2 linked regions of the Drosophila melanogaster genome follow. The protein of the gene in region 1 purifies or fractionates together with the protein of each later gene. This does not show direct contact. Each region holds a gene or a part of one and is shown on either strand. Other genes may lie near its edges.

Region 1 (6,046 bases):
TGTACACCCGACGACCTTCACGCGACACTTTCCAGTAGTAGGCCGCATATCTACGAAAAACAGAATCAGAAACGGAGAGTGAGCCAATGAAAAATCAGATTTTCGTAGCTAATGTGCTCCCCATTTCCATTCCCATTCCCATTATCCCCACTTCCAAGCCCAATCCCCTGGCCCAATCCAATTGCGTGCCCTGACCCCGATGATGTCATGACTGTGAGTGCTTTCCCCCCCCCCAACAAACCCAAGTGTTCGGCACATTCGTAGGGCATTTGTGGCAGTGGCAGCTTAACACGTTCCCTTTGCCCTCCCATGGGTTTGCTGTGAGGCCTCCTCATTGAAGGTCAGCGGGTGGCGCGGGTTGCCAAAGTCAAGTGCACGGCTAGAATGTTGTCTGCCCCATACGGAAATGCGTAAATGACTTACAACCCAACGAACCTGATATTTAAATGAGCCATCTAAACCTCAATAATCATCTTTTGATTCATAGGAAGCGGTCATCGATTCGATTTCAATTTGTTTGTTTCATTGGTTATATTAAACCAAAATATCAGGCTATTTTTTTTTTAAATTTTGCTTAAATATTATATTACTCAAACGAGCAGTTTGTCTTCTTATCATATATCTACAAAAAATGTAGTGCTTTTCAAAACGCTCCTTTGGCAAACATTGTACACAGCTCAAACAAAACTGGGCGCTCCCTCAAAAATCATTTAAAATCTTAATTACAGAAGAAGGGTCGAAATGCGTCATTAATGAACTTATAACATTTTCATTTTTTATCAAATGTGTATAGATAGGTTATTAATTCTGCTCAAGTTACCAGGCTTGTAATCATATTTCTTTAAAATAAATACAAATAAATGAAAGGCACTGCGCAAATTGGCCAAAATCCCTCATGATTGCCACAGAATAAAAGTCGAGCTATTTGACACTCAAAGGGATTTTCATTTGACGTCACTCAACAAGAAAAGCTTCGCACAGATGCGGTTCAATTTCCATTATCCAATTATTTTCAATTAAAAAGTTGCAATTTCATCTTGCAGATTATAAGGCTTTGAGATTGCAATCATCTTTCTTTTTATCTACACTGGCACATTTTTAATGGGGTCAAGAAAACGGCTCCTCAAAAAATGAATTGGCTAATTCAAAAGCTGAAAAATAACGACTGCTGGCTGTCCAATTGACAAGTGAAATGGTAAAGCATTTTCAATTTGAATTTTCAATTTGAATAAAAACGAAACTAAATAAAAATAAACAAAAAAAAAACTGTATCCATCTTAAAAAGGAATGCAAACACGTTATTAATTTTCTGGCCTTTTAGCCAAGTTACCAAAAGTTCCATCGATATGAACAGGAAATTTAACGAATACAAAGGGTATAAGAACTGCTATAAATTGTACACAAAACAGTTTCTGATGGATTACGGATTAGATGGATTCTTTTCAGCATCGCCGGCACCGGAGATGACGTTGTCCGGAATGGTCCTCAGTTTTGGAATGTTTCTCAAGATCGGAAAGGAAATATCCTGGAAATCTTCATCGCACAAGGCGGAGTAAAGCACCTGGGAAACAAATTCGGCGCGTTGCAATAGAAAATGATTCTGGGGACGCTTAGATGACCTGGGTGTTGTGAAGCGATAGCAGAGAAAACGCCTGCGCTCCTGATCCCTCTGCTTGGTCAGCTTCGACGGGTCCTCGATCGTGGAAGTGCCCAGGATGAGGGGCAGTTCGGTTTCTTCCGGCGGAAATTCACTGAATTCCACGGCGCGCGTATCCAAAGCGCGCGTCCCGGTTCCCTGGCGATGTAGTGCTCCGGGATTTGCCTGGAACATGGGCATCCTGCTAATACGATACCGCTCGTCAAGCGAAAACAGATCGGGGGCGGTCAAGGATCGAGTATTGTGCGACGCCTGGGTAAAAGCGGATGTGGGTCCGTAAACATTTATGCTCCGTGTATTGTTACCGATGTTGGCCGCCGGTTGAGCTGGGTTTGCGTGCCTGGTGCGGATGACTCGACGGGATGAAGCTGGAAATGGCTGCAAGCCAGCCTCGTCATAGAAGCGCATCATCTCGATCAGCGATGGGTGTGTTACGATAGGTGGAGCGGCGGCATTTGGGCTTGGTCCCATCACCTGCTGCTGCTGCTGTTGCTCCAATATGGCACTGGCACTGGCATTGATGGTGAATGGAGGATCGTAGTTGGAGGTGCTTAGCTCTTCCACAATGACATTACGTATTCCCTGGCCTGCCTCTATGCTCTCCTGTATCCCACTCAAGCGGGAGCCGTCACCGGGAGCAGGCGCTAGCAGCGGTCTGGAAGTCATGTTACCAACTCTGGCAGCACTTCGGCGTGCAATACGGGAGTACCGCTCTCTGACCAGAGCCTGAAGCCGATCACGGCCATCCGGAGACAAGCGCCGCGAACGATCTTCGTTATTCCGTTCCACCACCCTGCGATAGCTTCCATCCCGATTTAGCGGCTCCAAGTAGAGGGCCATGGAGCCCTCTGGGCGACGCATCAGTTCGTTGCGCGATGTGGCGGCCACGGCAATGGAGGCCAACTGCTCATTCTCCAGAAAGAGACGTGCCGCCTGCTGCTGCTCGAAGAGACCGACCATGGTGGAGACCAGCAGGGGACTGGCATCCGGATGCATTGCCGATACATGCTCCAGGAAGGTGGACTCGTTGAAGCCCCATCTCTTGCAGTACGGACAGCGGTAGCTCTGCGGCGGATAGTTACTGATGTACTCGCCACCAAAGTACAGTTCCACATCTGCCGGAATGAGGACACATACCACCGGATGGTCAAACGGATGCGTGGATGTGGTGAAGTCATTGTCATAGCACTCCTCGCAAATATCAAAGTCCTGGCAGCTCAGGCAGCGATAGCACCTGAAGGTGAGGGACCGCTTTCCGCATCCTTTGCACTCGATACGCTCGTGGCGATTCATCGTCATTGTTCCGCGTCTGCTTGGTGAGGATCGGATCACCAGGATCGGATTGCCAATAGCCCGGCGATCACTTTAGGTTAACAAATCCCCAACGAGCTTCATCCAATAAAATAGTTTAACTAACAACTGGTAGCGAACTCGAGCTGGCTGGCTCGACTGATTTTTACAAGCCGACTAGAGGCACACAAATTGTGTAAGTCTAGGAAGGACTCTTTAAAAATCTTGTTATATTTTGGAACTACATTTAGTTTTGATTCTCTTTAGTAGCTAAGATACAAAGCGGACTGGGGTCACCGTCGTGTCATGGAAATAGTCTTTTAATTAAAAACCAACTCAGTCGCCCAATTAAGGTGTTAGCCGAACTCGTTTCGAATATATTTTGTGCTTGTGCAACAAACTTTCATGTTCCACACAATTTGTGAAATTGTTGGGGGAAAAGTTTTCCGGGTCAGCGTGGGTCAAGCGAAGGCCCACGGGGAGGTTGAATTGGAAGGGGGTGGCAGTGAGAGGACAAGAATCAAATTGCTTGTGGCAAGTAACTAATGAAGTTAGCTGACGTAGTCCTGCACCTGGATAAATTGCTCCCTGGAACTAATGTATGACTTTTTTGTGTGTCGTCCTGGGAATTAGTTAAGCTACTTTGACCTAAGCCTTCAGTTTAGCTTTAGTTTGCTAACTTTAGTCGACAGGTTAAATATGATATCGTAAGTTTGTAAGTTAATGTTTAATTTGTGAATAAAAAAAACTCGAGTTAAGCTGTACTTTTCGAGTTGAATGTACACATTCTATAAATATCAAATCTCCTGGGAAAATTTCCAATCTAAAAACGCAAGCCAACAGACCGAAAAGAACTAACTCAAGTACTGAAAGATGCATCAAAAATAAACAAAATGTGAAAAGTGACAAGTTGAGAGGCACAAGAAGAGGGGAAAATGCTGCGAAACGAAATTTCTTTCGCCGGAGGGAATTCATTTTTTTTAAGACTCCCAATCCCATCTTGCCACAAAATTCCAGTTGTGACATGGGAAAACAATAAGGAAAAGTGCTTCGCCTCGACGGGCATATGATTTGAGTGCGCGATGAGAGTGGAGTAAAAGGAAAATAAAACGAACTATGTTATTATCCATTTACGAATGCACATGTCTACCAGAAGACCGGGGCTATTCAAAGATTTTTTTTTACTCCCAAATCCACTAGAAGGCATCCTCCACTTGCCGAGGCATCCTGGAGATGCTCTAAGGATATGTAGACCCCTTATTTCTGGCTTCGCTCACAGAGTATCAAGGAGCACATGCTGCACTCGCCCTGGAAGTTTGCCAAAAGGATTCGATGTGGATGGGGGTGCTCCAGGAAAAGGGAATCGGGTGTGCTGCTGTGTATAGAAGTAAGCTCTTCCTGACTGGTGACGTTTTCCTGCTGGCTTGGATTGAAATTGGGTGAAAAATAGTTGGTAATCAGAAGAGGGAAAATGACCGGAACTGTGTCATCAAAGATACATTGAACTGGAACTGTTAAGGAAAGTCAATCAAGGAAGAAACCCAATTGACATATATTTTATTTTATGAAGTAATAATATTGTTGCGCAATAATAACTCATTGCGAGGTTGGAATATCAGCCCTCAATGAGAACTTTCTGAGGCTGGAAAATCGCTTAGTCGTCAACCTTGATGTGGGTGTTCTAATCTCTACTAGCGGTGTATACTAGTTGTACAATAAAAAATTAAATCAAGCTATATAATCTGTAAATGTTTACGCAGCTGAAGCGACAAACAAAAGCATTTCACTTAGCATTGTATAAGTGCGATATTTAATAACTGGAGATAGGTTAGTTGTGTCGAAAGGAATAATCATTATAAGCGATCTAAGCACAATTTGTGTCGAATTTTGATAAGGTCGCATGGAAATGGACAAAAAAAAAAAAGGTTAAAGCTAAAACACTATCAGTGTGTCGCCATGACATAACATTTCGGCTATGATAAGGCTAACTTTCAGATATTGTTAGTAACCGCTAAAATATTTTATGATACTTTTATACTCGGTAGCCTTAGATTGGGGTAAATATGCACAGATAAACGTCAAAGAATCATAATTGATAATTAAAAAAAATATGTTTCAATAACGCATTTTTAAAAGTGTGACTCATAATCACTTCATAAAAATCGAATCATCAATTCCTCATAGTTTATTTTATTTATTTATTTATTTATTGTAGAAGATCTGAAATGAGCTCTAATCAACTAAGCTGATAACATATGTATGTTTTTTGGATTCCCATTCTTACGAACTTTAGTATTTTTAAGAGTTATCACTTAGAACCAAAAAAGGCACCTGTTCAACTAAACTGATAAGCGTTTATAAAAAGATTTCATAAAAAATATGTATTAGCCTTATCAGGGCGACTAAGGAAAACCTGTCTGCACACGTCATATGTACGAATTGCTAGAGAAGTTAGTCATATTTTCGCTTGCCAAATTTTCATTTGAATTGAGAAATTGAAGCAGTGAGTGAATAAGTGAAGCACAAGTTCGTTGCACTGTGAACATTTTGTAATATGGGTCATTTGGTAGGTCAGTAAATGCTGTGACTTCGGACAACTACAATCAGAATGTGCGGGCTCAGCTCGACTTTTGCCCAAAGAACCGGCAACTAGGAAACTCCAGCTGCCTGGAAAACGAACTATTGTGCGAGTGTGTGTATGAGTCCTTTCGCTTGTAGCTCCGAAAATGTGGCCAGGACACGCAAACAGGACGCCCAACGTGGCGCCAATGCGGGCAGACAGGATTGGAGCAGGGTGGTGGTTACAATGGTAACATTGTGGCGCCAGGAATTGCGGGTTTTTTGGTTTCGCAGAGACAGAAAGAAGGCACGAATTATGCTTATCTGGGCTTTAAGCGCTACAAAAAGAAGAGCACCCAGTTCAAAAGGTTATTTAGGGATAATTACAGGACTGCGGTCATGTTGAATAGGATCATTAAGTATACTAGGTATCAAGGTTCTTTCATATTTTAGCAATTAATCTATAGCAATAGCAAAGACTTCATATGCTAATCATCATCCCAATTAACTTAATATTAATTATATTCTAATATAGCTTTT
Region 2 (5,348 bases), on another chromosome or scaffold:
CCAGTCAAAAGTTTTGCTGCGATAAATGGACTGACGAACGCGAAAGGATAACAGCAGGATATATCGTTCAGGAATACAAATGTGGGGAGCATGTTTGTTTTTGCCCAATTTGTTGCTGCCCTTTTGCGTTTTTGCTCTGTGGCATTGTTTTTTGGTGGGAGCACACTCGAGCCACAAAAGCGAAGAAAAAAAGGAGCAGGGATCGTTGGCCCTCGCAATTTTAACTGAAGTGCAACAGGAGGCCGCGTGTTAATGCTGAAAAAGGACAACAAGCCAAGGACCCTTTTGCAGCAAAGTGGCGAAGTCGTGACGAACTCTGAACTCCAGTGAAAAAAGGAAAAAACGGAGAAGCAGTGGGACAGCTCCCAGCTGGATGTCGCGGTCACTTTTCATGCTTTCTACTGAGCCTTTTCAGATCCCTTTTTCATTATCCCGGACCGGGCTCGTGCTGAATTTTCTGAGGCGGGCCAGCAACGAAAAGTCTGGGGTGAAAGTCACGCGCTGAATTTAATGCCCAGCCAATGCCCCGAAAACGAGGCGTGTCAATGACTCTGGGTCACCAAATTGTTGTGCCAAGCAATCCGATTTCTGGCATCTCTCTGATTGCCCCACACACAACTTGATGGCCAACTTTCAGTTCTGCGCTCTCGATTTCGAGGTTACCCATACGCCCCGTCGCACGCGCAGCAATTGATAGATGGTTAGAAATCTGTGGCAGGCCCAATGTCAGAGGAAGGCAACCGCAGTATAGAACTTGTAGTGTCTCGTCTTAGAAATGTTCTTAAACAATTCGCCCAACTGTCGGAGAACTGCCACAAAATTCCAGCTGACAGGATTGGTTTCTGCGGAGAACAAGGCATTTGGATATCACATCCGTTATATAGTTTCTACTTTATGTTTGGTAATTATTCTGAATCTACCAACTTGCGATTGGCCCATTTCGTATATGTAATGGGCTTAATGCTAACAACAATCCAAAAGCAAAGTAATGCATTTTTTCGAAGCCAATTTTAGTCCGACAGTTTTCGAGGACCAAATTTGCTATTATTTTTCCATAGGTTCCCTTTAACAAACTTACGTTTGAAATTCGTTTTCTTTCATCTCCCACCTCCATAGATATAATTTTTGGGGGAACTTAATTAGAATTTTGCTGAGTCTGTGAGTTTTTCTTGTTTTGCCTCCGGTGCCCGCATATGTTGCGCAAATTTAATTGCTCTACAAAGCCGCAAAATAGACAAACAAAAGTTCCCGCACCGCCCACACACAATCGAAAAGCATTTGGAAGGAGTTGAACATGAACACAAGACACAGATTTCGGGACAAAAAACAAAACAGTGGAGCCCGCAGTGGCAGTCGCAGTCTGCGGAGGCAATTTCAACTTTTCCCAGTGTGTACTTAATGGAAAATGACTTTATTGTAAGCCGGCTTGCAGGCCTCTAAGCGCCAATTTTCAACACTTGCGCTATTTTATGAAAGCTTTCCTTAGCAGGCTGAGAATGTATACAATTATGCAAAATACGAAGAATTTTCCACAAGGAACAGCCTCCTTTCTTTCTTTTAATATAAACCTTCTGGCGGAAACATAGACTCAATGTTGTGGCAGTACGCCACCAGTGATCTGTCCTTGTCATCCGGGAATATTTTACCCAAAAACTCGAGCAATCCAGGCTGATTCTGTACAATTTCGGCGTACTCTTCAAACGCTATCACCCCATCCTTGTCAGTGTCGAATTTTCCGAATATGAACTCGCACATGTCCTGCTCGGAAACGGTGCTGAAATGCAAGCATAATTGTCAATAATGTCAGTACACTCACCGCTCGCAATTCGTTGACCTCGTCGTCGTCATCGCCAGTGAAGAATTGTTCAATGGCCACGCCGACCACCTCGCGATTCAGAACCACAGCACCACCGCTTGTATAAACCTGTAGTCCATGGGGAAATTTAATAAAGGAGTAGCCACGATTTCGGAGCAACCACCTCAAATGCGAACTTCATTCGCTCCTGCAGACTTCCGTTGAAGAACACACAGAACAGCCGCATCCAGGCTTCTGGAGAGACTGATCGGCCATCCTGCGTGATATTCATCGAAATCCGGTCGATGATGGTCACGTCGAAGATCCCAAAGCTGACGAGGAATAGATTGTACAGCTGGCTGGTGGACATCATGCGGGACCTGTTGTTCAGGGCGTACTTGTAAAACACGATCAGCAAGCTGACCACTTCGTTGGTGGAAAACTCCGTGGAGGCAGCGAAGCTCTTGATCAAAGTACTGTACATGGTGAGGAACTTGTTGTTGGCCATGTCGTCCAGGGTAAGGTCGATGCGGTTCATTGTGTTTTTTAATGGCAATGGTAAACAAGTAATTATTATTTAAAATGTTTTTTAAGAGAGTACTGTGTAATGGGGCGTGTGTTTCGGGTGTGTGATGAAAATGCCTAACTTATGAGGCTCTGGCCTGCTTAAAAGGGTGAGGGTTATGCAAGACAAATTGCAAATAGATTGGGTAAGTCGCAGCCGCAGCCTAAGGATTCGCCGGGAATGTAACTGGCGCAATTTAAAAGCGATAAAACAACGCCGCGACATAAAAAATACATCAGCCACGCTACATGGACTACATCTGTCCCCCATTTCGAATAAATATTTGAAACAAACCCGCCTGATGAAACACACAAAGGCTGAGAAAAAAGCTGAAAGCTGTGCGCATGAGAAACGCGAATATAATAATCCAAACAAAAGCGCTGAGATGGGTGTAAAGCCTTCCATGTGGAAATTCGTCGGAAATGGCTGTGTAGCCATTTTGTTTGGGGTAACAAATGTTCGGAATCTCCTTCCCTTTGTTGTATAATTGTATGCCCCCTTCGAAACACACTCACGCAAGCACACACTCACACGTGCCACGCCCACCGAAATACCAAAAAAAATGAGGAGGCGGCTGAGCAGCTCGACACGGCATAATAACAATAAAATAAGAGTGGATGATGAAGGAGAGAGGGCGGCAAGGATTCACGCTCCTTAATGTCTCCACAGTTGACATCGCCAAGTGTTGGCGGATTTACAGGCAAGTTGGGCTGGATTTTGGTATGGACTTTTGATTGATATATTTTACGTACGGTGTTTGGAAGAGACTTACGGCATAAATTTGTTAAGCAAGACAAATGGCGCGGAAGCGAAATTGGAAACATTTTAATTCTCATAAAACGCTTAAAGAGGGCAACCATATATTTTGTATTTTTGAAATCCAGAAAAGCAGGCGAAGGAAACATATGCCAGCTGCACTAGACATATCCATTAAATCATTGTAACTCCTTAATCGATAATCAAACAATATCATATATCCAGTAGTAAATCAAAGTAAAGAGTAAATCACCGTGAGCTTCCCTGAACCATGGAAAACCTAGACTCCACTGTCGATAGCACCGAGAACAGCAAGTTCTCGGCCCTGTACGGTGGATTGATTAAGGAGATCGCTGCAACCTCGAAGATGTCCACCTTGGACATCACCTGTTTGCTTTGCGTTTACTACAAGTTCGTCAGGTTCAACGGACCTGGCGCCAAACAGATGAAGAAGAATCAGTTCTACCAGATCTACTTGGTGCTCTTCAACGTGGCCAATGTTCAGGTGATTGAACGCTCCCTTCTGGCCATCACCAAGGATACCAAGTACGTGAGTCCCCGTGCCTGGGTTGATCTCTTTGAGCTGTACACCACAGAGGATCTGGAGCGCCGTATGAAGTTTGCCTTTGAAGTGGGTAATGGATTGTTAAGCATTTCTAGAAGGCTCTAATAGGGTTCTTTATTAGGTTTATGACACCAAGAACACCGGAGTTATCGATCGCGAGCAGGTGGGCGTGGCATGCGAGAAATTCTTCCACGAAGGCGACGACGAAGATGAACTAATTGAGCTCAGAGCGGTAAGCTTGCTTATCAATTTAGAATAATTTAATAAATTTACTCCTCACAGGACATGACTGAATTTATTATGAAGAAGTTTGATGTAGACAAGGATGGAGTCATTTCGTTTGAGGACTACTCCTCGGTTGTTTCACAACAACCCGTTTTGGTTGAGTTCTTGGGCTGGCTATTTCCATCGAACGAAGAAAGGGATCTTATGGCCCATGTTATCAACATGGACTCCATGCTCAATTATTGTAATCCGGACGCAAAATAGGCTTGTCGTTTGATTAAGCTTGATTATCCCACTGTGATAATAATCGAACGACAAACGACAATGAATGAGGACCAAAAGGATGCCGCCAAAGTAGTTGATCAAAATTTTTGTATGATTTCAAATTAATCATTTTTATAAGCATGATATATCAAATTTCCACCAACACTTTGAAAATAAAGCAAAATGTTTCGCGTGAGCTGTCTTAAAAGGACTTGCGATTGGTTCTTGTGTTAACTTGGTTTATATAAGGCGATAGAGTGGGCGACTCTTTATGTGAACTAGCAGACACTGCGTATGCATCATAAGCTCTCCAAAATCTCTGTTCACATTCTGCACGGGGCTCTGATCAAGTGGATATGCACACTTTAAAGAATACTGTATGGGTAACGGCGCTATGAGCCGTTTTGGATACTTATATAATTCCGATAGCCAAAAACGAAAAAATGCGACGCAGGAGCCTTTGAACTTATACGAAATAGTTTTTAAACATTGTTATTCAAAATCCATCTGCCAACCCGAACATAACACAAAAATCACAAAAAAAAAAAAAAATTAGAAAAAGAAAACACACACAAAAAAAAAGTTTCAAAATAAGGAAAAAAATAACAAAAAAAACTTTACAAGGAAATAAAAAACATTAAAAAGAATTTAGTTATGGAAAACCTAGACGCCACCATAGATAGCATGGAGAACAGTCGGTTTGCAGCGCTCTACGGGAGTTTGATCAAGGAGTTAACCCTAACTTCGGAGTTGTCCCAGACGGACATCACCTGTTTGCTCGTCGTTTATTACAAGTTCTCAAAGGCCAACGGACCGCAGTGCAAGCAGATGACCAAGAAGCAGTTCTATCAGATCTTCTTGGTGCTCTTCAACGTGGCCAGTGTCCAGGTGATCGAACGCACTCTGCTCGCGATCACAAAAGATACGAAATATGTCAGTCCCAGGGCCTGGATCCACCTCTTCGATCTCTACACAACCAATGACATTCAAGTGCGAATGCGATTTGCTTTCGAGGTCAGTCCTGCTATCCTTAAGTAAATTTGTATCGAAAATACGTTTTCCCATAGGTCTATGATACCAAAGGCACTGGCGTTATTGATCGCGAGCAAGTTGGCACGGCTTGTGAAAAATTTTTTTACGGCGAAGACGAAGATGAACTTAATGAACTTAAGGCGGTA

What was found. The genes of interacting proteins can lie anywhere in the genome.
Region 2: the proteins of CG15286 (region 1) and sunz purify together in Drosophila melanogaster (affinity purification with mass spectrometry, with the first as the bait; one large-scale study listed by BioGRID). This does not show direct contact.

The regions. Positions count from the first base shown.
Region 1 is NT_033779.5:14,335,311-14,341,356, reverse strand, and holds CG15286 (uncharacterized protein), read right to left. Parts: upstream 3,118-6,046; 5' UTR 2,957-3,117; coding exon 1,421-2,956; 3' UTR 1,277-1,420; downstream 1-1,276. Other genes in the region: CG33090 (uncharacterized protein), read right to left, coding at 1-50.
Region 2 is NT_033777.3:6,627,230-6,632,577, reverse strand, and holds sunz (sungrazer), read right to left. Parts: upstream 2,428-5,348; 5' UTR 2,334-2,427; coding exon 1,980-2,333; intron 1,925-1,979; coding exon 1,817-1,924; intron 1,759-1,816; coding exon 1,558-1,758; 3' UTR 1,394-1,557; downstream 1-1,393. Other genes in the region: CG15177 (uncharacterized protein), read left to right, coding at 3,388-3,747, 3,803-3,913, 3,964-4,170; sowi (solwind), read left to right, coding at 4,825-5,184, 5,238-5,345.